Linked DNA regions of Macaca fascicularis. The protein of the gene in region 3 interacts with the protein of the main gene of each other region in a pairwise test. Links are inferred from orthologs where the notes say so. Each region holds a gene or a part of one and is shown on either strand. Other genes may lie near its edges. The genes, in order: ZNF131, SAXO1, FHL2, GLYR1, JUP, SP2 and KIAA1217.

Region 1 (4,143 bases), on a different chromosome or scaffold from region 3:
ACAGGAGTTATAAACCACACGGGTGGCGATAATGGGGGTTCTTATTACGAAAGAGAAACTTGCTGCTACTAAAATTATGTAGGCATGGTTAAAGTCAGAAATGTTACGGCTAGAAATCTCAAACTAGAATACATCTCAACTTGCTAGGGTAAGAAATAGCTAAACTCTGACTTGGTCAGACTAAGAAATCAGGAGTTTGAGATCAGCCCAGGCAACCTGGCGAAACTCCGTCTCTAGGAAAAATACTAAAAATTACCCGGGCGTGGTGGCGTGTGCCTGTGGTCCCAGCTACTCCAGAGGCTGGGGTGGGAGGATCGCTTCAGCCCGGGAGGCTGAGGTTGCAGTGATCCGAGATCGCGGCACTGCACACCATCCTGGGCGACAGAGCCGGACCCCGTATCAAGAAAGAAAAAGAAAAAGAACCAAAGAAAAAGAAATTACCATCGCACAGTTAAGTCTGCCTTGCTAAACAGTGACTTCTAGGATCAAGAAATCGCAGCCAGGGCTAGACCGGTGTTTGCCCTAAACCGGGACTTGCTTAGGCTGAGAAATCACATTTTGGCTATTGATTTGTACAAGAGGTAGCAATCGCAGGCACCGCGAAATCGAAACTTGCGAGAACCAAGAAGCCAACGACGCGCGAAACCGCAGAGGCCTGGGACAGAGACGCGAGCGGCGGCGCCGCCAGAGGACTGGGTTCTGGAGGCTAAGCCAGAACCCCTACGACGCCGCTCGCGGCGCTGTGAAGAGACGGCGCCCGCGCAGCTCCTCTGCCACTTGGCTCAGACGAGCGGCGGGCTCCCCCGCCCAGCGCCGCCGCCACCCGGGAACGCCAGACTCTGCGCAACTGGCTGCGACTCCAAGTCCCTCAGATCAGCGACCAGAGCGCTGCCGCCACGAGAAAATGGAGGCACCGAGGAACAAGCTGTGCCGCCACCAAGAGAACTCGGCTCCGCGAAATGGCGGTGCCGGGACTCTGCGAGTGACGCCAGCCGGAGGAGTTCCCAAGGACAACATCCGTTTTGGCGCAACCAACTGTGTTGTCACGGAGAAAATGTCGACCCTCGGAAAAGAGAGGTTCTGCGACCGAGAAATTCGGTGCAACAAGTGCTGTGACAGAAACCCTCCCCCCGGCTCGGCGCTGTTGGCGAAAGAGCCAACAAAACGCTGGGTGCTGCCACCGTGACACCGACTTTAGGACACGGGCCTCGGATGGAGAAAGGAAGAGCACGGAGCCACCGCCTAACTTCCTAATGTCTTCAAATAGCGAAAGTGCTAACCGGAAACTGCCGGCTGGGTTTACCTATTGGTGTTTCGCGTGGGACCAGCAGATTCCAGAAACCAGAGGGACTGGAACCTAGTACACCTCGGCAATTGGGAAATGACCTACCAGGACAAATAACTGCTTCTGGCTCCATGGTGCTGCCCGTGAACATCCGCCGGCTCTGAGAAACGAGCTGCACTGTCAATGAGAAACCGTGGGCACTGAGAAAGGAGCGGGCTGCAACGGATAACTGCCCACCCATTGCCACTAGGACAAAGTGCTGCCGGCACTACTCCCACCCTCCGTCCTCAAATCAATCCTCTCCCGCTTAAGAAGACCTTTATTTTTCATAGCGAAGTCATACCGAGAGCCCCAGCAACCGACCCCTTGCGATGTGCATGGGAAAAGGAGGCAGTATAGCGATCGAGAATCGGGCGGATTAGGCTGGCCCTGGAAACAAAGTAAAAGCCATCCCGGTCGCCAGCCGTCTTCCACTGCAAGAAACAAACCTTCCAGTGGCTGGGCTCCGCCCTTCTCCTTGGTCAGAGCCCTCCAGACTCCTAAGAGGAAGCCGACACCTCATCCCTTTGGAATTTGAAGCTCTCAGTCCAAGACCTCAGTGGAGAGTGAAAGACACAATGCCGCCTGACCCAGGCTTCAGGCCTGCCCGGGCAGCTAGGTACCTCTCCAGGGGATGGAACTCTGTGGGAACTGCTATTTAATTCTGATGGTTAACTCTGTCAGATGGCCTTGATACATGGGAATAATCGTTGGAAGAGGGTAGAGGAAATAAGAACCGCAAGACTCTAGCACAGGACGTGTGGATTGATGGTGAGGCCTCTGTTCCCTCTCCCCTTGAAATCCTCAAAGGGCAGCTCCATTTCTATCACCTTTGACCTTTGAAATTCATCCCTGATGTCTTCTCCATCTTTGGGAAGTGCAGTGCAATTTCAAGCTCTTCAATCTTCCCTCTCCCCCATTTGTCAAATATGCTGACGCTACAAACTTCTTTTTTATAGGAAGCCTGAAACTGCCATTGAGCAGAAGGAAAACATCCCTTTCCAGAAGCTTTCTCGTTTCTCTAAAAATCTGCACTTTTGGAAGTGATCCCCCAAAGAGACCTCCAGACTCTACCATGAGTGTCTCCAGCTGAATTCATCATGTCTAATCCTCACCCTAGCTTATCCTGTTCAAATCATTTCCATCTTTTTCTGGATGAATCTGGGCGGATGTCAGACCAGAGAAGAGCACAAAATGCACCAGAGGTAAGAAGACCCATTTTGGGCTCTCACTTCTCACCCACTCCCGAGATGGCCACCTCCAGTCTTCCCTCCCTATACCCTACCCTTTCTTCAGCTAGCCAAAACCTGCCCTGGTACTTGAGGCTTCTTCAATTGCCTTCTTTTGCACGCAGTAGAATAAAGGAAAGAGGACAGTGTCAATAGAAGAAAAGTTACAGCCACTTTATCTAATTGAAGATACTGTGCAGAGTCTTTGAAAAAACAAAATATCCCACCCACCATTCCTCTCTCTCCCTTTCTACCCTAGCTTCCTATTTTAGCAAAAATGCTGGGATCAGCACTTCTGGAGGGAAGGGATCACCCTTCCAGGTTAGGAATGTGGAGAGGAGTTATGGAGCTCACTTCCCTAAAGGAGGGGGCATTCTAGTTCCGGCATTCAGATTCAGTCTGATTCCAATATGGTGTTTTTGTGGGGTGGTCAGAGAAAGGGCAAGTCAGGAACTGTATATTCCTCAGCTAGAGACTCTAAGACATTTGCATTTGGAAAATCAGGACAGATGCTGATATTGTTTGGCTCCATGTCCCCACCCAACTCTCACCTTGAATTGTAATAATCCCCACGTGTCAAGGGTGAGACCAGGTGGAGATAACTGAATCATGGGGGGTGGTTTTCCCCATGCTGTTCTCGTGATAATGAGTGGGTCTCCAAGATCTGATAGTTTTATAATTGGCATTTTCCCCTGCTGGCACACATTCTCCTGCGCCCCTCTGAAGAGGTGCCTTCCACCATGATTGTAAGTTTCCTGAGGCCATGCAGAGCTGTGAGTCAGTTAAACCTTCTTTCTTTATAAATTACCCAGTCTTGGATATTTCTTCATAGCAGTGCGAGAATGGACCAATACAGATGTGGTAGAGTTGGGTGCTGGGTGGCAATGTCAGGTATATGCAGGTTCTAGGCACCAGGTCAAATCTGGAATGCAAATTATGGGACACAAACCACAAATGATGTCCAGCCTTTAATATTTTCTTTCATTGTTTGTCAAATAGACAAAGAAACAAAGAATAAAGAAAAGCATTTTTTTTTTTTTTTTTTGAGACAGAGTCTCGCTCTGTTCCCCAGGATGGAGTGCAGTGGTATGATCTCGGCTCACTGCAACCTCTACCTCCCCGGTTCAAGTTATTCTCCTGCCTCAGCTCCGAGAAGCTGGGATTACAGGTGCACACCATCACACCTGGCTAATTTTTGTATTTTTAGTAGAGACAGGATTTCTCCCTGTTGGCCAGGCTGGTCTCAAAGTCCTGACCTCAAGTGATCTGCCTGCTTCAGCCTCTCAAAGTGCTGGAATTACAGGCATGAGTCACAGTGCCCAGCCTCAAAGTATATTTTTGTAAAATTTTATCAAGATAAACCTAGCTAAACCAATATACTAATAATAACAAAACTTGGGTTATTATTCACTAAAGGAAGGTGGCACAAAATAGAAACATTTTTAAACGTTCAAAAAAAAATCCAGCTAGGCGCAGTGGCTCACGCCTGTAATCCCAGCACTTTGGAAGGCCAAGGTGGGTGGATCACGAGATCAGGAGATCGAGACCATCCTGACTAACATAGTGAAACCCCATCTCTACCAAAAATAC
Region 2 (3,500 bases), on a different chromosome or scaffold from region 3:
AAGAAATGCCTGAGGTTGGGTAATTTATAAAGAAAAGCAGTTGAACTGGCTCATGGTTCTACAGGATATACGGGAAGCATGGTAGCATCTGTTTCTGGGGAGGCCTCAGGGAGTTCTACTCATGGTGGAAGGCAAAGCATGAGAAGACATCTTACACGGCAGGAGCAGGACAGAGAGAGTGAGTCGGGAGGTGGGGAGGTGCCACATGCTTTTAAACAATCTTAGGAGAACTCACTCACTATACAGTACTAAGGGGGTAGGGGGGTGCTAAACCATTAGAAATCACCCCCATTATACAATCACCTCTCACCAGGCCCCACCTCCAACACTGAGGATTACAATTTGACATGAGATTTGGTGGGGGCAGAGAGCCAAACCCTGTCAGCCATGATTCAGTTTAAGCTGTGGAATATTCACTCTTCTGTAGTTTGAAGAGGACAGCCTGAGATGTAGCTATATGGACAAAGGGAGAGACAGGGGAAACTGGCAGTGAAAGAGATTAAAGAGTACTGGTGGGGTGTGGTGGGGTGCATGCATGCATGTGTTTGTGTGTGTGTGTGTGTGTGTGTGTTGAGTGGTAAGTAGCTTCCTGGGGATAAGTAGGGAGGACTTCTCTTTAAATACTACATGTAGACCTCCTCCATCCTTGCCAATCCCCAAGACAAGCAAGGAGCATTTTTCACTCGCGGACCTCTCCCTGCACCTAGGGAAAGGTGGAAGACAAGGAACTGAACTGACAGGCAGGAGCTCTGAAGAGTCTCTCCCTATACTAAGATTCATAAACCAACAGGGCACACAAAGACAGTGTAGAGGAGAGGTGAGTCCGCCATTGGATATGCCCTATCAGAGTCCCTTATCCCCTCCACCAATGGTGGAAAGCGCTTACTGCAGTTTCATTCCTCTATCCCACTTGCTCAATGTCTGTGGTGCCTTATTTCTGGTCTTCTTGTAAACACTGGATTAAAAGGGAGAAGAATGCATTCAGTAGAGGCAAAAGTGCCCCCCAACACCCTGCCCACGGTCATACACCTGGTTGTATGGACTACCTGTGTAGTGCCTGCTGTGAGAGGGTAATTGGCAAAGAAAAAGACAAACAGATCCCTGCCCCTTGGAGCTTACAGCCTGGCCATTATAGGAAGCATTAAAAGTACACAATGAATGACAAGACAGGGGAGTGCAAGGCACCCATATAGCATCCAGTCTGACATAGGGAAGGGCTCAGAATGTGATCTTTCAGCTGCTAGCTGAAAGGGTAAGTGCTCGATCAAGGAAGCAGAAGGATTCTATGTAGAAGACATCACATGTGCTAAACAAATGCCCTGAAGCAGAAAAGAAATGTAGGAAGGGACCTGAAAGAAGGCCCTGAGGCTGGAGCAGATGGGCTTAGACATCAGGACCTCCAAGGCATCAGAGGAGGCAGTCAAGGTTTGGGTTTTTATCATAATAGGATCATATGATTTGATAAAATAATGATTTTATCAAATGATTATCTGAGGAGTTTCATACACAGGAGAGGTCACATCAGATGGCCATGTTTAGAAGACTGCTCTGCTCCCTTTCTGTGGAAAATGGGTAAGAGCTGACAAGACTGGATATATGCTCAGGTGTGTGCCCAGGTATAGACATGCAGAAAACAGGATTACGGCTTTGCCAGGAGGAAATAGCAAAAGGGCTGAAGAGAGAGGGAGTCTTGGCTATCAGTAGCAGATGGGCTCCAAAGATAGGCCATGGAGTAGACTCCGTGGGGGGGGACAGACACAGGAGGGGCTGGTGGTAAGAGGGAGGGTTGAGATGTCAATGGACTGGAGGTCCCAACAGGGCCAAGGACTAGCATGGTGGGAGGAGATAAGAGGACAAGCTCAGAGGACAGGATGCCAATGTGCACAAAGGCTTCAGAAGTGGGGCCATTTCGGGGTATGATAACATTCAGAATATTAATCAGTTTTTGTACTGCTGACAAAAGGTGGCTCGACCAAAAGTAGCCATGGGTGAGTGTTAGAGGAGGAAGCTAAAGAAAATAAAAGGGCAGAGCTCAGATTGCTGAAGAGGCCCATGCCAATCCAGTCCTCAGTTCCTGGAAGACTCAGAGAAACTCAACTAGGCACAGGGTCCTCCAGGATGACAGAATTAGAGGCCTTTCTAGGAGCTCACATCCCTCCAACCTCACTACCTCCACCACCATCTTCACCCTAAATGCTTGGCTTGACTAAAGAAAAGTGGCCCCCTCTCTTCACAGCATTGAGAGGTCTGTGAACTGTTTAGCATGTCCTCCTAGGGCAAAGGTGGGTATCATAAGCATGAGTTATTGATGACAAACCTGGTCTCCAGTCTCATGGTCTCAGTCTTTGCAGCTGAGCTCCATAGAGTGGCTGTCTGCTAGCACAACACATATGACCACATATCCTGTCTCTCCGCTAGGCCAGAAAGTCGAGGGCAGGCCATTATGCTTCCTTCAGTTTCTAGGACCACACCTCGTAGGTAATATCAATAGATACTCAATAAAGAAAGAAGCAATCCTGTTTATATAAAGTTCAAAACTGGCAAAACTAATTTAAGGTAAGGTATTAAAGGTTAAAATAACGGTTACGTTCTCGTTGGGGAGGGTGACAGAAATGGGGTAGTAATGTTATATTTCTTGATCTGGGTACTGTTTACATGGATTTGTTCAGTGCAAATTTATTGATCTGTATAATTATAAATTGTATACTTTTCCATATGCATGTTACATTTTGATATATTTTTTAAACACGTGAATGATATATTTTTTAAACACGTGAATGAATCAATCACTTAATCAATGGTAGAAACTAACTTAGCTTGAACTTGAAGTGCTTCCCCCAATATAGGATTCAAACTGCAAGCTAAGGCAGGGGTTGGCAGATATTCTGTATAAGAGCCAGGTGTTAAGTGTCTTATGTCTCACAGAATGTGGTGTCTCTGTCAATAACTACTCAACTTTGCTACTATAGTGCAAAAAGTAGCCATTGATACTGTGTAAGTGAATGAATATGGCTGTGTTCTAATAAAACATGAACACTGAATTTTGAATTTTATATCATTTTCACAGTCCTCAAATGATAGCCTTTTGATTTGTTTTTCAATTATTAAAAAAAAAATGTTTAACCTTTCTTAGCTCTCCAGCTATACAAAAACAGGCTGCTGGCCAGATCTGGTCCGTAGGAAGTAGCCTGCCAACTCTTGCACTAAGTGACTTTGCACATTAAACACGTTTCCTGGCCCGCACACAGGCTCAGCCTGTCCTTCCCCCAATCTGCCCCTCTGTGCTCTCCCACCTTTATAAGTAGGCAAATACTCCATCTTGTTGCTATATGGATATTTACTGTCCCGAGGTTTGATGGGGTCCACTCGACAGACAGTGTAGGGATTGTAATCTTTCTTATACGTCGTGAGCAAATCCATATTCTCTTCACTTGGGACGAACTGGTCATACTGGTGGGCCTTCACTGGTGCCACTTTGTGAGGCCCAAAATCTCTCCTGT
Region 3 (3,500 bases):
TGCAAAGCCACACAAGGTGGAACGGCCATCAGTACCTCAATTTTACCTGGTATTTTTCTCCAAATGTTGCATCTCACATTCTGTTTAAAAATGCGTGCGTGGTGGAGCTGAGTAAGCTATCAAAGGAGTGTAGGTGGCCTCAGCTTGGCAAACGAAGGCCATGGAAGATGGAGTGCAAGCACCTCACAATCACGCTTTTTTGCTTTTTATTTTTTGAACATTTCAGTATCATCCAGTAATTCCTTTGGTCTTTACATAAAGCTTGTGAAGTAAGAAAGATACTAATTTTATGGGTGAGTAAACTGAGACTCAGAGAAATTAAAAAGTGACTTGCTGAAGAATTCATAGCTGGTTAATGACAAAGCAGGAGCTAGAATTCCAGACTCCCTTCTATCTTGTATTCTTTTCATTAAACCATGAATCATAAAGCATCTTCCTATAACCCACCCCACCGCACAACAGAATGAACACAAAACACGCTTGGTTGCAACGCATCCATATGCATCAGTAGCCTGTGTGTGTAAGACGTCTCCTCTGCCTGCAACATACGTCCTCAGTCCTCCCTCACTCCGGATTCCATGCTTCCCACCCACATCAGCTAACTCGATGCCTCTCAGCATAGCATGATTTTCTCAGAGACTCCCTCCCTAAACGCCACCCTGGCCCCCGACTCCTCAGATGAGTTGAGGTCCCTCCATTCCACACTCTGCCTTTCTCCTCCACAGCACACTGCTTAGTAACGACTGACGGGTTTGACACTGGAGTGTACTTCCAGCTAGACTGCAGTTAAGTGTCTGCATCTTGTCCAGCATCGGATCCCCAGTGCCTGAGAGGGCCAAGTTCATGTCGAGGAATGGATGCTTCTGGCGTGAAGGTTTTTGTGTGTATTTAACGAACATGCACACAAAAGGCATGCATCCCAGAAGGATGTGTTGCTTTCATTTCCGCAAATGAATAAAGCACACACTGGAAAGATGACAGAGGAAGAGCAATTCAGATGAACTTCTGTTAGGTCTTGATGAGAAAAACAAACCAAAATGAAAATAAAAAGGGGAGAGAACAGGGAAGAGAGTTCCTAAAATAAAAGCAAGAATGAGACCTCAATCTAAGAATAAAGAAAAAAACAGGAGTTCGTGACCAGTCTGGCCAACAAGGTGAGACACCATCTCTACTAAAAAACACACACACACACACACACAAAAATTAGGTGGGTGTGGTGGTGGCGCCTGCCTGTAATCCCAGCTACTCAGGAGCCTGAGTAGCTACTCAGGAGCCTGAGGCAGGAGAATCGCTTGAACCCGGAAGGCAAAGGTTGCAGTGAGTTGAGATCATGCCACTGTACTACAGCGCAGGTGACAGAGTGAAACTGTCTCAAAAAAAAAAAGCATAAATGGAGAGGAAATTAAGAGAAATAAAATCTAAAATAACAGTAAAGAACAAAAGGGGCTGGGTGCAGTGGAGGCGGAGGCAGATCGATCACCTGAGGTCAGGAGTTCCGAGATCAGCCTGGCCCACATGTTGAAACCCCGTGTTTTCTAAAAATACAAAAAAGTCGGCCAGGCATGGTGACGTTTGCCTGTAATCCCATCTACTTGGAAGGCTGAGGCAAAAGAAATCGCTTGAACTGGAGAGGCAGAAGCTGCAATGAGCCAAGATCGTGCCACCGTACTCCAGCCTGGGTGACAGTGTGAGATTCTGTCTCCAAAAAAAAAAAAAAAAATGGAAACGAGAGAAAGGCTGAATGGAAATTGGTAAGAATACTCAGCACTTAGAAAAGGTGCAGGCAAGGGGGACATTCTTGCCCAGGCCAGCCAGGTACAGGTAGAGGCACTGGGATGTTTCTCCATGGCCAAGAGGCAAGGGTAGAGGCCCCAAGGGCAACACAGCAGAAGCTGGGTAAGCAGGGTCAATGAGAGGTTGAGAGCAAACAGAACCTGCAATGAGTTCCACAGCTGGCATTGCCCAGGGCGAGTGAGCCGTGGGAGGGTGCCACTCAACAGGCTGATGCAAAGCCTAACAGCACAGAGACGCTGGAAGCTACGGCATAATCAGAGTTGCGTGTGTGTGAGAGTCAGAGGGCACAGCAGAAAACCAAGTTCTACCCTGACGGGCACAGGTCGGGGGGCAACTGGGCAGAGAGTTGGCTTCCTACAGATAGGCAGTTCCCTTTCTTTCTTTAACCCTAACAGAGCCATGACTGGAACAGATCGAGTAGTTAAGTTTATTTATTGTTATTTTTTTAATTTTTTGAGATGGAGTCTTGCTCTGTCACCCAGGCTGGAGTGCAGTGGTGTGATCTTGGCTCACTACAACCTCCACCTCCCAGGTTCAAGCAATTCTCCTGCCTCAGCCTCCCGAGTAGCTGGGATTACAGGGGTGCACCACCATGCCCAGCTAAGCTGTGTATTTTTAGTAGAGATGGAGTTTCACCATGTTGCCCAGGCTGGTCTTGAACTCCTGACCTAAGGTAATCCACCAGCCTTGGCCTCCCACAGGTGATCCACTAGCCTTGGCCTCCCACAGTGCTGGGATTACAGGCATGAGCCTCCTTGCCTGGCCAGAGTAGATACATTTGATAAATGATCTGTCCCATATCCACGGGGGCAGACTTTTCTCCTTTACTTTTCTTCTCACATCCCGTCTCTCTCTTCTCCCTGCTCCCTCCCTTCCTCTCCCCCTCTTCCTTCCATCTTTCTCTCCCTCTCAAGTTTGCAGTTGTTTTCTTGGTTTATTCATGGAGAGAAGCTGAACAAGACAGCTTTGGGATAGTGGCTCCCCTTCCCTCTACCATCAGGTCATCGACATAAGAATATATTTAGAATGGTCTAGAAGAAGGCAGGGTTAAGCGATTTGATCACAGGAGCTCAACAGCGTTGATGTTTTTGAAAGAAGGATGGGCGCCCAGACCCAATGGATAAAGCTCGGCATGTAAGGCAGGACAGGCACAGCTCCCACGCCATTCCAGTATCACAGGTATCCTTGTTTTTGGAAAGAGAACTGACAGACATGGACCGTGGAGGCAAACCGGCCAGGATGTGCAAGGGCCAAGGGGGAATCTGAAATACCTTTTTGCACTGAACGCACTGCATGGCATGTTGTTTCTCATAGCAGGGCACACAGAAATTCTGATTGTCTTTGGGGATGAAACTCTTGGTTCCAATTGGCTGCTGGCAGCGGTGGCAGATGAAGCAGGTCTCATGCCAGCTGCTGCCCTTGTACTCCATCTTGCGGGTACCTGTCATCAGGGTCAAGAGGAACACAGCAGAGTTATGCTTAGAGGGGCGTGGAGTCCCAGCAATTGCCTTCAGAGCTTGCCACCCTCTAGTTTTATGACCAGAGCAAGTCACTTCAGCTCTTGAAGGCTCACCTCTAAATGGAGGTAATTCCTATTTTGTGCAGGGCATGGACTTTGTCTTTTGGTTCACTACTGTACACCCAGCTCCTAGAACAACACGTGTACATTTTAGGTACTTAACATTTATTTATTGAAAACCGTGGTT
Region 4 (4,278 bases), on a different chromosome or scaffold from region 3:
AACTGCCAGCTGGGGGTGGTGGTTCATGCCTATAATCCAGCACTTTGGGAGGCCAAGGCAGGTGGATTGCTTGAGTCCAGGAGTTCTACATCATCCTGGGCAACACGGTAAAACCCCCTCTACAAAAAATCAGCTGGGCATGGTGGTGCACACTTGTGGTCCCAGCTATTCGGGAGGCTGAGGTGAGAGGACTGCTTGAGTTGGGGAGGCAGAGGTTGTGCTGAGCTGAGACTGTGCCTCTGCACTCCAGGTTGGGTGACAGAGTAAGTCCCTGTCTCAAAAACAAACAAAAAGGAACTGCCTTTGGAGTTGGGTAAAGAAACATGTGAGAAACTACTTCGATGTGATTATTACATTTAGAAGGTAAATGAACCTAGCTCTTGCCTGACTTAGTTATAGGCCTAGGACAGTTGTCTAGGGCAATTTCTGCAAGAAATTGCACCTTTATTTAGGTATGAAGCCAGAATGAGATGCCAGTATTATACATTATAAGAAGACTGAACTAAGGATCCTTAGAATATTTTCAAAGCAGCTCAGACTCCAGGTAACACAGAAAGAAAGGTAAAGGGAGACTCCTGGTGAATACTACTCACTGATCTTCTGTTCCAAAAAATTTCACAAAGAAGCATTTCTTTCCACGAGGTTTCTTCAAGTCCTTTGGTGGATTAACAATCTGGAGGATAAAAGGGGGAAAAAGGTTGGCTGGCAACGCGCAGCCCACTGTCTAGTGGCTCCACATTGCTCTACACAGCTCTATGTTGGGAAGAAAAAAGTAAATTAAAATGACTTACAAATAAATGTATTTATATACAAAACAGAACCCAAGGCCTAGTACTTGTCTAAATCTCCCATTTTTCTAGAGATTTGTGGAAATGTGTAGATATTCTACAAGTTCCCAATATTTAACATGTAGCACAGTGCTCAGCAGACACAATATCCCTTTCACTGTAGAGGCCCTGTTTTACAAGCAGTTAAAACTAAGATCAACAACATCTCCTGCCCCCCACCAACCTGCCCCGCCCCAATGTGACCCCATCATTACTGAAAAAAAGCAGAGGACCCTCTTTGAAATACTTCCTGTGCAGGAAGAGTTGAGACAGGACATAGTGAAAACAAAGGACAACTGAGGCACAGAAAACACCATATTGCAAAGAGACCATCTAAAGACACTTCCTGGGCTCCAAGCAAGAATATAAAAACACATTTGGAAAGCAACGATGGATCACCTCATGCAAAATCTGGAATGCCAACTTCTGCAAAGAGGCACTGGAGTAGCACATATGGTAACATGGAAAGAAGATTTAAACTTAGTTGGGACAAAAATACTTTGGCTTTTCACTAACCTACATTTAGACTTCTCTTCCTGGATAATTTATATTTTCTTCTCCTTTTGTTACATTTAAGCATAAAGCTAAATTCAGATTAGAATTATTTCCGGGGTTAAAAAAGAAACTTCATAAACCTTCTCTAAATCAAGAAATAAGCGTTTAGAGCAGATTTAATGATCTGGAATATACTGCATTGCCTTTAAAAAAATAACTGATACTAGGAGAAAAAAAATTCTAAGTGCCATCTGAATGGGCCCAGTTTAACTCAATACTAGAAACTGAGAGGAATGCATCTTACATTCTCCACCTCCTCAAACCCAACTTCAGATATCTTCCTTTAGTAGCAACACACTCACCTTTCCTGGCCAAGGAGGATACCGGCCGAGTTTCCCCCTAGAGAAAAAACACAGAGTTAACACTCGACCTGGAAAAGTCAGCCTATCTCCTTCAACCCACTCAGTACGCAATTTATTTTCCTAAATCTCTGCTGGCATCCTCAAGTGGCGGAACAAAAGCTTCCACAGCTGGGCCCAAGACCCTCAGAAGCAAAATGCAAAATTGTATACTTATGTGCACAACGTGTAACCATTCTTCTGTTGACAAGGAATACAAAACAACACAACTGTCAAAAGTCACTTGTCTGGAGCTTCTTAATGACGGGGGTGGGAGGACAACTTCCTCTGTAAACACAGACTTTCCCTCCCTAAGTCTGGTTTAATTCAACAGGAGACCTGCCTGGCTTTGACAAATGCTAATGGAAGCCTTCCTCTGGGTGGAGAAACAAGCTATGCAGCTCGAGGGAGGCGGCGACAATCAGCCTTGGTTCGGGCGGTTGTCTGGGACAGAGAAGCAGAACGCGGGAGGCACCCAAGCCTGCACTGGTCACTGCCAAGCCATTGGTTGTAAAGAACTACCCCGCCGTTTCTTCGCGGGGCAACGCCAGAAGTCCGGTTTAGACAATCCCGGCTGAGCCGCCCGCACAGGTCGGCTGCATCGCAACCTGGGCTTTAACCGAATGGCACCGGCGAGATGGACTCGCAGGTCCGGTCCCCGGCGCTTCTGCTTTCTGGGAAGCCCCAGCAAGACCCCGGGAACAAGTCGTCCAAGGAAGCCTCGCGGCACTGGCGGGTCCTTTCACAGGGGCCGCCAGTATCTGGGCCCCGAGTGCAGAACCCTCCCGGGCGGCCTCGGGGATCAAAGCCGGTGCCCGCCGTGGCCACCCTCGGCCTCGGTCCCCCGGGACTGGACTGCCCCTTCCGCCCGGCGCCGCTCGGAAGCGCCGGCACCTTCTCTTCCCCTCTCTCCGCGACCTGGAGCGCACAGAAAGACAGCTCCGGGGCCGGCAGCGAACCCAGCACCCTGGCGGGCAGCTCCCCGGCGCATCTCGGTTGGCCCGGCCGCCCGGACTCACCACACCAAGTCGCCGAGCCGCAGACTCACAGCCGCCATCTTACCACCCAACCACCGCCGACGCACGGGCCGCCGGGAACAAGCAGGTCGCCTCGGCGCCGCCCATTGGAGTGGGTTCGACCACGTGATGGGGGCCGGCTGTCATCGGCCACGCCGCTGCTCCGACGTCACCGCGCCTGTCGGGGATCATTGGCTGGCCGAGCGGCACGTGACGCGAGCGCCGCGGTCTCCGCGCGCCGGAGCGCAGAGACTCCCGGCTCTTTCCCCCTCCCTCCGGCTCGTGACAACGAAGCGTCCGCGGTCTGAGGCGGCGGCGGCGGCGGCGACGGTGCGACCGGCTGAGCGCGAGAGGGAGCCGGCCTCGCGGCCTGCCCCGCCCCCGGGCCTTGGACTCCGCGCTCCTCCCCTCTCGGCGCTTCCGTTGCGGCCGTTGGTCCTGCGCGGGCCCCGGGGCCATTCCCGAGCCCGAGGCGCTGGTCGGCCCCGTCGCTGCGCCCGTGAGCTCCCGTGACGGAGCTCAGCGCGGCCTGGAACTCAGCTTCCGCCGGGTCTGGGCTCCGGCGCCCGGCTACTCCTCTTGGCCGCAGACCGGGAGGCCCTGGTGTCCGCGCCCGTCTGCTCCTGCCGCCCGTGTTCTTTGGAGCGCTCCTCCCGACGGCCGCTTTCGGAGGCGCCGTCTGAGCGCGTGGTCCCGCGCCGCAAGTTCTCCCGGGGCGCCCGGAGGCTGCTCCCCCGACCCCTTGGTGTCCTCAGAGTGGCTGTACGGACGTCGAGTTGGCATTTCTTCGCTTCCTCCTGGGCCGGCGCGCGGCGCGGCACACCAGGCTCCCCTGGGCGCGGGGACCCGGTCATGGGCCCAGGCGCGGGCCGCCCGCCCGCAGGGAGCCACGGCTCGGGAGCCGACCGCTAGCTGCGCCGCCGCCCGGGGACCGGCATGAGGACCGCCGCGGGGGGACGTCTGCGGCCCGCGTCGGCTCTGGGGACAAAGGTGCGTGTCTTTGTCGGGTCCGGGCTCTCCCGTTAGCCTTGCCGTAGTTTGGCACTTCTGAAAAAGTTGTGACAACAGGAAGACAGATGCCGGGCGTAGTTTGGACACTTGAAAACTGAACCATGAAGTGGGAAGTGTTAGCTGCGGTTGAGCGCAGCGCCGGCCCAAACTTCAGCAGACCGGGTAGAAACACAGTTTTGCAAAAGATCCCAGACCTGATCACAGACTCCACAGTGTCAAGGAATGACTTAGACTTGGTGTCGGGCTCTTGTTGAGTTCCAGCCTGCTGGAAAAGGTGGCGGGTCCCCACGCGTTTCCCCAAGGCATTTTGGTGGTTAGAGGTTTCGGTTGCAAGTCGGTGTTTAGCGTACTGGGTCGTCCCGCAGCCTGATTTTTTTTTGGAGATCAGTTTTCCTGAAGTACCAAGAATTAACTTCATGAACTGTCATTTTACTGTGTATGTATTTTTAAGACAAAATGATGTTGAAAGCGTATTTGAGATACTAGGGAATAATTTGATAAAAATAACATGTTCCTGTTTAAAAATTCTTA
Region 5 (4,280 bases), on a different chromosome or scaffold from region 3:
CAAAAAAAAAAGAAAGTGCTTGGTTTCTGTAAAGTCTGACCTTGATCTTGAGTTACCATTTGTCAAGTACTTACCGGGTAGATAGGTGTTGTATTCCCATTTTGCCAAAGAAGTCACTGAGACTCAGGCAATGTAATGAGAGACAGAGCTGGTTCTCAAACCCAGCTCAGTTCAAGCCCAAAGCCCTGTGCTCAGAACTGCCCCACTGTCCCATCTCTCCAAACAAACAGTCCTTCTGTAGACTAGTCAATTGACCGATCTCATTCTAAGGTGGCTCCAGGAAGGGAAGAAGGTTGGCAGCCCTAGCCCGACCTTTTTCGTTCCTATACACTGCATTCTCAAAGCCTCAGCCCTGGCAGCCCAGAGGTTCCAGAGGGAATGGAGTGGAGCCAGGGTGCAAGGGAGGGGTGGAGTGGGGGTGGGAGGGCTCAAGTCACCCAAGCTGGGGCTTGATCTAGCAAGAAATGACTAATTGGGTCCTACCTTCTCCTCCTCCGCGTCCCCCAGTCCAGTCAGTGGCCAGTTTTCACCAGGCACCTCCTAGTAGTACTTCCTCAGTATTATCTTTTCATCACAGCCACAAACCAGATTAGCTAAACTAATCATTTAGCCAACATAATTACAATGCCCTCCCCTCCTCCACCTTGGCAGGGAGAAGAGGGAAAGCAGGTTATTTTTGCCCAAACTCCGTGCTCCTGTTGCGCCCCAGAGGTGCACCGCCCCCCTCCTCCAGCAGAAAAGGATCTGAGTTCCCACACTGACTTCCCCCTAGCCCCGGGCTGAGCGTGATCCCCACCCAGGATAAAGGGGCTGAGTCTGGGCCCCCAGCCTCACTCCCCCATCTACAACAAAGAAAGAGGTGGTAGACTCTCCCCCTCCAAGCACTCTCCATCCCCGCTCCCCGCAATCTTTCTCCCACCCCTAGGACTGAGAGAGAACCCAACTGTGGTATTCTCTCTCTGTTCCCCAAGGAGGCTGGGCTCCAAATCCTGCAAAAAGACCACACTTCAGATTGTTTTTTAAACCGGGGTAGAAAGCCTGGTCAAGATTCCCAATTCCGGAGGGTGGGGGGGTCTCAGGAAATTGGGAGCAGGGAAGGCAGGGGCCCGATGCAGCTCTGCCTGAGGGAGTCTAGCACTGAAGAAACCTTCCCCCAAAAAGCCTTCCTCCGGTCTCACTTTCCCTGTCAAATTCTTTCAGGAAAGGGGGTGGGAAAGGTCTGTGCAGGCCTCCAGAAAGCATGCACCTTCATAATTCAGAAATCAAATGGAAGGCAAGTCCCACAGCCTCATGCTCTTTTGCCTCAATTACCAGCCAGCTAAGTAATGTGGGGGATGGGGTAGAGAAAAAAAAAAGACAAGAACAACCACTCCCCCCACCTTCCTCAGTTTGGCCCAGCCCTGCCCCACCCCCATTCCTGGGGAGGGGGCAGAGCTTGAGAGAGAGAGCCGCTTACGCAGGCCTCGTCTGAGGGGGTGTGGTGGTCCCCGGAGGCAGGAAGAGAAGGAAGAAGCTGCTTCCCCTCTCAGCACTTTCCACCCCCCACCCCGGCCCCCACCTCAGGCCCCTGGGGCCCAGCGAAGAGGATGAAGGTGGGGGCAGGGAAGACAGGGTCGGAGCGCAGGCACCCGCCCAGGTTCAGCCAGGGGCCGGCTAGGGGAAGGGGCTTTGCACCAAGAAGGACCCCCTAAGCCTAAAGGAAGTTTTGGGCAAGGAGACAGGAAAACCCCCAGATCAAGCTGCTGTGAATACTTCCTCCTGCAAAGTTTGTTTTGGGTGATTTTTCCAACAATAAGAGGTTAGAGAAGAAGACGGGTCCTGTTCCCCTACCAACACTCTAGCAGCCACAGCTACTGGAAACTGGGCCAGGTGACCCTGAATTCTTCATCCGTGCACAGACCCCACCCCCCAGACTCCAGGGCGAGCCACGGATGCCAGACACACCAGCTGGACACTGGGTCGAGCCCTGCACCCACCACTGTCACTCCATCCCACCTCCGCTGAAGAAGCCAGAGCCCGGCTCCCACCGGAGTGGAGGGAGGCGCCGCAGGTAGTATGGACGAGGCTCTGGGAGTTGGAGGGCAGGGCCTCTGGACTCCGTGCGCTCACCTGCTCGGCAGGTGGGGCCAGCGTCGCTAGGAAAATGTGTGCTCGGCCCCCACAGTTGGGCAAGCTGGGCGCAGACAATAGGGCCCCACCCAGGCCTGGGGGAGTAGGGAGGGAGGGAAAGCGAGGATGACGCGTGGGGTGGGGTGAGAGTGGCCCCAGAGACCAGCGGCAGCAAGTTTCCCAAACGGTAAATTCCTGACTGCAGCGTGAGCCCTGGGACGCAGTCAAAGCAGGGCAAAGTCTCCCCCACCAGCTCAGGGCGAGAGTCAGGGACGCGGCGTCGGGCGAGGGGCGCGGGCCCCGGGGGAGGCACGACTCCGGAGGCACCTGTCCGGATCCCTCCCGCCCTGCTCAGATCTCTGGCTCGCGGAGCTCCCAGGCGCGCTCTGCCCAAACCGCGCGACCCCCAGGTCGCCGCGCCCAGGACCCCAGCGCGCCCCCTGCCGCCGGTGCAGGGTGGCGCTCCATGGCACCCGCCCTCACCTGCCCAGAGACGGCAGGGACCGGCCTCGCGGGCGCTCGCCACCCCTTCTCTCCCCAGCGATACCTGCTCCCGATCGCCCGCACCTTAGTATGGGGCCTGGCCGGGCCGGGTCGGGGTCGGGCCGGGGTGGGAGCCGGCGCAGGCAGCTAACTGAGCTCGGCGTGGTCGGGCGGCGGCTGCTCCGGACTCTGGCCAAGGCAGCAACTCAGTAACCGAACAAAAGGCAAAGAGACCTGACAGCCAAGCCACGCCCCTCGCCACCTCGAAGCTCCGCCCCTGGGGGAGACGCCCACCCTCTGGTGCGAGCTCACTGGCTGTCTCGCCTGACTGTCCCGTCGAGGGGCGGAGCCTCACCTCCAGTCCTCTTCCACGGCCGCCTCTGTTTATCCGCTTGCCATTGGCCCCAGGGACTGCCAGTCGGCTCTAGGGATGGACTCTAACTTGAGGTCTCATCCTAACACTGCACCTATTGGCAGATAGAAAGTTACTTCCTCCTGATTGGACAAGGGGCTGTCAGTAAGACTAAGGAAAAAACCAATGGAAGGGATGGGGTGTGTCTTGCCCCACCCTTGCTCTGAGCAGGTGAGACTCATTACTCTCCCCTTCCCCCTACCTGTCCAACAGGTAAGTCAGGGGATACTAAGGGAAGGGACAGACGCCTTCACCGGCCAGCCAACTCAGCGTCAAGCATGATGCTTCTTTGGGCTTATTCATCCTTGCCCCAAAGTAGTAATCACATATTTGTATAGCATTTCATAGGCTTTGTGCTGGGTTGGGATTTTTTCCCCCCAAAGATGGAGTACTCCTGGGATTTAGAATTAGAAGACCAGGGTTTGTGTTCTCCCACTTAGTATGATCTTAGACAAGTTACTTCACCCTGTTTCTCCTCATCTGTAAACTGGATACATTAGCCGTATCTACCTCTCTGGAGTATGTGGGGATTAAATGAAGTCAGGTTTGTGAAAGCACTCGGAAACTGCTAAAGGTTAGAATTTAAATTAATGATATTTTTGTTTTAATTATTGTGACAGCTCTGAAAAAATAGTTAAGATGAGAAAACGACCCTCATTGTAAAGATGAAGAAACCGAGGTTCAGATAAGTCACAAAACTACAAAGTGGCACACCCCAAGCTAGAACCTCCTTCTCATTTGAAGGACCATCGAACCAGCTGTTCCCTTCATGGAACATAAAATGCATAGACATAAAATGTCAAGGCAATGGGGGAAGGGGCAGAGAAAAGGCACAAACACTGGGAGGAGAGACAGAACAATTAATTGGCACAAAAATACAGTATTGGTGTCAGGAGGCTTTGATGGGCTTGGAAACATCAAGCAGCAGATCTGAAAGAAACCCAGGCATGAAAGAAACGGGGCAGGCCAAGGTGGGTGGATAACCTGAGGTCGGGAGATCAACACCAGCCTGGCCAATATGGTGAAACTCCATATCTACTAAAAATACAAAAAATTAGCTGGGCGTGGTGGCGGGCAACTATAATCCCAGCTGCTTGGGAGACTGAGGCAGGAGAATTGCTTGAACCCGGGAGGCGGAGGTTGCAGTGAGCTGAGATCATGTCACTGCACTCCGGCCTCAGCGTGACAGAGTGAGACTCCATCTCAAACAAAAAGAAAAAGAAAAAAAGAAACTGGGTAGCACATCCCTCCACGATAGGAGAGCCTGGGGTAGAGA
Region 6 (3,075 bases), on a different chromosome or scaffold from region 3:
TTGGCTCACTGCAGTCTTGAACTCCTGGGCTCAAGCAATTCTCCCACCTCAACCTCCTGAGTAGCTAGGACTACAGGCGTGCACCACCACACCTGGCTAATTTTAAAATTTTTGTAGAGACAGGGTCTTACTGTGTTGCCCAGGCTGGTCTCAAACTTCTGGGCTCAGCTGATCCTCCCTCTTCTACCTCCCAAAGTGAGATATCACAGTTATAGTTTTAGGTACTAGCAAATCAATGCAAAACTATTAAAAATATTGATCCAGGCTGGGCACAGTGGCTCACACCTGTAATCCTAGCACTTTGGGAGGCTGAGGCAGGTGATCACTTGAGCCCAGGAGTTTGATCAGGCAGGGCAATATAGCGAGAGCCCATCTCTTAAAAAAAAAAAGTTCATACATCTGCCACCTGAAATTGTCCTGGGTATCCACAGTGGTCCACACACACACTTTGGCAAACACTGCTATAGTGAATGCCTGCAGTGAGCAGACACCTGTCCTGGGGCTAGAGGGCTGAGGGAAGCTTGACCCAGAGCTCCAGCTCCCGGCCAGTGTGGTGAGACAGGTCCTACTCCTCAAAAGGCAGAGGAGCCAGCACTCCACAGGAAAGCAGTTGGGGTCAACATGGTTCCAACTAAGTGAGTGCTCAGGGCTGGCAGGGTCAGGGTGGAGCGGGATTTTCCTGCGATGGGGAGGATGCTGATCCAGGTTCAAAGTCAGAGAGACAGAAGAAGAAAGCAGGCGGACAACCCTGCACGGAAGACTCTTAGGTGCAGGGGCTCCAGGGACAAGGAATGGGAACAAAATAGACTGCAGAGGTCAAATGGGGGCAGAGAGAAATGAGAATTGATAAAAAGATTTAGATGAGTAGGGGGCCAAGTGTGGTGGCTCATGCCTATAATCCCAGCACTTTGGGAGGCCAAGGTGGGCGGATCACTTGAGGTCAGGAGTTCAGGACCAGCCTGGCCAACATGGTGAAACCCTCTCTCTACAAAAATACAAAAATTAGCTGGGCGCAGTGGCGGGCATCTGTAGTCCCAACTACTTGAGAGGCTGAGGCAGGAGAATTGCTTGACCTGGGAGGTGGAGGTTGCAGTGAACGGAGATTGTACCACTGCATGCCAGCCTGGCCAACAGAGTGAGACTCCATCTCAAAAAAAAAAAAAAAAAAAGATTTAGATGAGTAGGCACCAGGGAGCAAATGTGAGAGCAGGAGGTGGGCAGAATGTGGTGACAAGGCTACGTCAGCTTGTTTGGGTGCCCCTCACACACACCCCACCTTTTTGGGCAGAGACAGGGTCTGTGCCCAGGGTATGTGGGTGATGGGCATCTCCTCTTCCCAGGGGACAAACGCTTCGAGTGCGCCCAGTGTCAGAAGCGCTTCATGAGGAGTGACCACCTCACCAAGCATTACAAGACCCACCTGGTCACGAAGAACTTGTAAGGCCAACTGCGGCGGGAGGCCCTGAAGATGCAATCCCCCGCCTGTGTCCTCCCTGGGCCCCTGGTGGAAAGGAGCCCTGTGGCTGCCCTGGGCCTGCCCTCAGCCCCACTCCTGTTCTGCAACTGTCCCCACAGGAAGGGGCTCTGCTCCCTGTCCTCCTTCTGAAGCCCCTTGGCTCCGCCTTGGCCCTTCCCCTCACCACGAGCTCCCGGCCTGCCCAGACTGTGGACACTGGCCGTGCCCAATGAGACGTTCTAAACCAGGACGCGTGGGAACCCTTATTTCCAAAGGAAAAACATGCATTTCACTCCGTCGAGGAGCAAAGTGAGCCCCCACCCCCCACCCCAATCCCCGCTCCCAACACTGCCGGAGTCGCATCGTGCCATGCCCACTCTCCTGCACCTCCCTGGCCCTGCCGGCCACTGTGGACGCCCTGGGGCTTGGCACCCACCTCTGGAGAGACTCGGGGCCACCTCCACTCCATGTGCCCAGCCCCGCCACAACCTCTCCTCCAGCACATTCCAGCTCTGTTTAAAAAGTAAAGACACCCACCGACTCCTCCTGATCCCCCTCTTTTTCTATGGAGAACGTTGCCTTATACTCTCTACTTCAGATGATGAACACTGTGTACTGTGTGTGCTTTAAAGAAGTTTTATTTAATTGCTCCCTTCTTCCTTTCCTTGTTATTCACCTCCCCAATGCCTGCTTTCAGTTGAGGGTTGGGGGCAATGATGAGCATATGAATTTTTTTCTCACTCTAGCAATTCCCTTTTCTAAATGACACAGCATTTAAACTCAAATCTGGATTCAGATAACAGCACCTGCCCATCCTGCACCTCTTCCCTCTCCCTTCACCTCACCCCTGCCCGGCCCAAGCTCTACTTGTGTACAGTGTATATTGTATAATAGACAATTGTGTCTACTACATGTTTAAAAACATATTGCTTGTTATTTTTGAGGCTTTTAAATTAAACAAAAATCCAACTTTATTTTTAGTTGTAACTGCTTGAGGTATGTTTTATGAATTAAGTGACAGATTTGTTATCCTTTATTAACGTACTTTGTTGGTCAGCGCTGGGCTGACAAAAATTTTTTCTTGCTAATAAATTTAGTTGCCTGAGGCAAAATCTTCAACTTGGCAGTTCGGCTTCCTTTGTCTTTTCCCTTGGAGAGCTCGGAGAGGAGACTCCAGAGGAGGGAGCTGTGGTCTCTCAGAGCGATCCACACTGGGATCAAGGTAGGACCTTACCCTCCTGACCCTCAGCAAACCCAGGCCACGTGCCCAAAAGGGGCCGCAGCCACATGTACCTCACGACACTGGCACGAGCCCCCAGAGCACCTCCAAGGGCCAGGGCCCAGTGCAGGTGTTCCTGCCTTTTTCTTCTGTAAGCCAGTTTTGCCTGTACACAAATCAGATACAAAGAGCCAAGTCACAGCAGTGACCTCAGCCAGCAAGTTAACTCCTCCACCCACCTCCCCAACCCCTGGAGGAAGGCATTGGCCTCAGAGCCCATTAGCAAGAGGCTTAGAGAGGAGAGCCAGTGGGGCCTTGGCTCAGTCCCCTCCAAAAGGCTACAGTCTGGCAAAAATGCATTTCCCCAAGGGCCAAGGTCCCTTCCCAAAGTGAAGGGCCA
Region 7 (2,320 bases), on a different chromosome or scaffold from region 3:
GTAAGGAGGGGGAAGTAGGCTTAAAGTCCCCACCAGATTTCTTAGCACTTCCATTAGCCTGCAAATAAAGATGGTGGGAGACATTTTGTCAGAAAGGTGGACACGTGATCAACCCACAGGGCCTGGCAACACAGCCCTTCTGAGAATAATTCAATCAAAGAAAACCAACCACACACAGTTCAAGGCCTGAGCTAAGTCTTGTTGTGCTTTACTGGACCTGGTAGAAACCCCCCACGTACATAGCAAAGGATGGACAGGAAAGGAGGAAAGGAAGAACGCATTTGTGAGAGGAGTCCCATGATTCCAGCTCTATCATTTCCCGTGTGCCAGGTGGGCCATGCGTCTGGATAATTACTGGGGTGGGGGTCGGGCATTTTGACGGAGCGTTAATGTGCTTCTAACGCAATACAGTCAACATAGACGTTAGTAGTGGTGACGTTAAGGGCAGTTCCACCACAGGTTGGTTTGTCTCTGCTTCCCGAGGTGTTCAGATGAAACACTACATTCACCAAAGAAAAGCCACCTGGTCTGGCACCGTGTGTTAACAGTTAAAATTTGGAGCTTGGAGTCACAAAGTAAAAGATGTTTTATTGTAAGCATGCAAAAGCGTGGTGAAAAAGTTTAACAAATGGTTTTTAGACTTTCTTCATGCCCCCAGATCCAGGATGTCTATGTAAACCGTTATCTTACAAAGAAAGCACAATATTTGGTATAAACTAAGTCAGTGACTTGCTTCTTAACTGAAATAGCGTCCATCCAAAATTGGGTTTAAGGTAAAACTACCTGACGATATTGGCGGGGATCCTGCAGTTTGGACTGCTTGCCAGGTTTGTCCAGGGTTCCGGGTCTGTTCTTGGCACTCATGGGGACAGGCATCCTGCTCGTCTGTGGGGCCCCGCTGGAGCCCTGTGGGAAGGACCAGTGAGAGGGGGAAGAGAAGGAGAAGCACGTGAGTAGGTCATCCGTGAGGCTGCTCCACTATGTTCAGAGAAGCTCAAGGTGAGAAGCCACAGCCCTACATGCAGGACAGATCTAGGAGACACCAACTGGGGTTAATCAGAAAAATCAAACAGAATCAACTGCTCACTACTGATCAAACGGATTTTAATGTGAGTATCAGAGCAATGATTTCAACAGCACATGGCTGACCCGGCAGCCTCGTGTTTACCCAACACCAGTCAGCAACAGAGGCAAAAACAGAATTGATTAGCTGTTAGACACCTAGTTGTTGTTGTTTTGAAGGTGAGGGAGAAAGTATGAAAGAAGGGTTTCATGGCGAACAGACAAAAAAATAAAATAAAATAAAATAAAGCCACCTGAAAGAAAGCAATTAAGTCACAAGACACCTTTTGCTAATGGTGATTATGGCAGATTTAGGAAAGCAGCCGGGTCTTTTCATTTTCCAGCAGACCAAGATACCTTACGTGAAGTTGAAGGTATCGACGTAGGGGGCTCTAGGGCAGTGGGGCCTTCATCCGGAACTAGCAAGGGCCGGGGAGAGGCCTCCTGGGCTATGTGGGATGAACTTGCAACAGAATCTCTGTTGGAAGAACCTGAGGTATCAACTAGGGCTTTGGGACTCATTTCACTGATTGTATTTTCAAGCTGTTTGATGGTCTGCTCCAGGCTATCCAACGTTCTGTAGGTGTTTTTTCTAATTTCATCAGTTCTTGAAATCGGAGACGTGCTCTCGATGCTGGACTGCTCTTCCCTCCTCAGCATGTTTCCAGGGCTGTCTTCAGGTTGAGACCTAGTGATTTCAAAGCGCTTGGCTTCTTTGTGTTGTTTCAGGGTGCCGTCCTCCTCCTCTTCTTCGTAGACTACCACTTGCAAAGTCTTCTTCCCTGTTTTAGTTCCCGTGCGAATGGCTTGAGTGAGAGCGGCGAGTTGCTTCTTAGGGAATTTGAATTTAAACTTTTTCTTAGGGCTTTCAAACTGGTCATCGGTCAGGTCGCCACCCTTCCATTCCGAATGTGGAGAATCCACGTGGCTGAACTTGTCCAGCTCCATTCTGTTCATTTCCTGTCCCCCTGGGATTCTGGTCTCTGTTGCCAGAGAGTGTGGCTGTGACTTTGTTTCCACCTGTTGTCCTGTTCTAAGATTGCCCGGGGCCACCTTCTTATGAGACATCTGGGAAGTGGTATTATTCTGGACTACAGAATCTCCATTTTCCTCCTCTTCCTCCTCCTCTATCTTTTCTTCCATCATCATTCTCTCTAATTCCTCATCACACTCCTCAAAGATAGTTGAAAGTCTCTTATATGCAGACCGGATGTCCATGGGCTCGTCGAAAATGATGATCACTGGTTTCTTGTCCAGG

What was found.
Region 1: the proteins of FHL2 (region 3) and ZNF131 interact in binary tests that used the Homo sapiens proteins (3 or more experiments, as listed by UniProt). The two-hybrid records come from large-scale screens. The link is inferred for Macaca fascicularis from reciprocal best matches to the Homo sapiens genes FHL2 and ZNF131.
Region 2: the proteins of FHL2 (region 3) and SAXO1 interact in binary tests that used the Homo sapiens proteins (3 or more experiments, as listed by UniProt). The two-hybrid records come from large-scale screens. The link is inferred for Macaca fascicularis from reciprocal best matches to the Homo sapiens genes FHL2 and SAXO1.
Region 4: the proteins of FHL2 (region 3) and GLYR1 interact in binary tests that used the Homo sapiens proteins (3 or more experiments, as listed by UniProt). The two-hybrid records come from large-scale screens. The link is inferred for Macaca fascicularis from reciprocal best matches to the Homo sapiens genes FHL2 and GLYR1.
Region 5: the proteins of FHL2 (region 3) and JUP interact in binary tests that used the Homo sapiens proteins (3 or more experiments, as listed by UniProt). The two-hybrid records come from large-scale screens. The link is inferred for Macaca fascicularis from reciprocal best matches to the Homo sapiens genes FHL2 and JUP.
Region 6: the proteins of FHL2 (region 3) and SP2 interact in binary tests that used the Homo sapiens proteins (3 or more experiments, as listed by UniProt). The two-hybrid records come from large-scale screens. The link is inferred for Macaca fascicularis from reciprocal best matches to the Homo sapiens genes FHL2 and SP2.
Region 7: the proteins of FHL2 (region 3) and KIAA1217 interact in binary tests that used the Homo sapiens proteins (3 or more experiments, as listed by UniProt). The two-hybrid records come from large-scale screens. The link is inferred for Macaca fascicularis from reciprocal best matches to the Homo sapiens genes FHL2 and KIAA1217.

Annotation. Positions count from the first base shown.
Region 1 is NC_088380.1:43,506,273-43,510,415, forward strand, and holds the start of ZNF131 (zinc finger protein 131), read left to right. Parts: upstream 1-1,343; 5' UTR 1,344-2,095; intron 2,096-2,283; 5' UTR 2,284-2,424; coding exon 2,425-2,529; intron 2,530-4,143. UniProt on the Homo sapiens protein: Plays a role during development and organogenesis as well as in the function of the adult central nervous system. May be involved in transcriptional regulation as a repressor of ESR1/ER-alpha signaling.
Region 2 is NC_088389.1:79,936,738-79,940,237, reverse strand, and holds part of SAXO1 (stabilizer of axonemal microtubules 1), read right to left. Parts: intron 3,497-3,500; coding exon 3,294-3,496; intron 1-3,293. UniProt on the Homo sapiens protein: May play a role in the regulation of cilium length. Stabilizes microtubules at low temperature.
Region 3 is NC_088387.1:9,795,376-9,798,875, forward strand, and holds part of FHL2 (four and a half LIM domains protein 2), read right to left. Parts: intron 3,236-3,500; coding exon 3,066-3,235; intron 1-3,065. UniProt on the Homo sapiens protein: May function as a molecular transmitter linking various signaling pathways to transcriptional regulation. Negatively regulates the transcriptional repressor E4F1 and may function in cell growth.
Region 4 is NC_088394.1:5,657,771-5,662,048, forward strand, and holds the start of GLYR1 (cytokine-like nuclear factor N-PAC), read right to left. Parts: upstream 2,801-4,278; 5' UTR 2,778-2,800; coding exon 2,740-2,777; intron 1,722-2,739; coding exon 1,685-1,721; intron 674-1,684; coding exon 594-673; intron 1-593. UniProt on the Homo sapiens protein: Cytokine-like nuclear factor with chromatin gene reader activity involved in chromatin modification and regulation of gene expression. Acts as a nucleosome-destabilizing factor that is recruited to genes during transcriptional activation.
Region 5 is NC_088390.1:62,820,550-62,824,829, forward strand, and holds the start of JUP (junction plakoglobin), read right to left. Parts: upstream 2,801-4,280; 5' UTR 2,593-2,800; intron 518-2,592; exon of another isoform or gene 484-517; intron 1-483. UniProt on the Homo sapiens protein: Common junctional plaque protein. The membrane-associated plaques are architectural elements in an important strategic position to influence the arrangement and function of both the cytoskeleton and the cells within the tissue.
Region 6 is NC_088390.1:58,807,366-58,810,440, reverse strand, and holds the end of SP2 (transcription factor Sp2), read left to right. Parts: intron 1-1,340; coding exon 1,341-1,441; 3' UTR 1,442-2,575; downstream 2,576-3,075. UniProt on the Homo sapiens protein: Binds to GC box promoters elements and selectively activates mRNA synthesis from genes that contain functional recognition sites.
Region 7 is NC_088383.1:25,337,187-25,339,506, reverse strand, and holds part of KIAA1217 (sickle tail protein homolog), read right to left. Parts: coding exon 1,420-2,320; intron 907-1,419; coding exon 784-906; coding exon of another isoform or gene 769-783; exon of another isoform or gene 569-768; intron 59-568; coding exon 1-58. UniProt on the Homo sapiens protein: Required for normal development of intervertebral disks.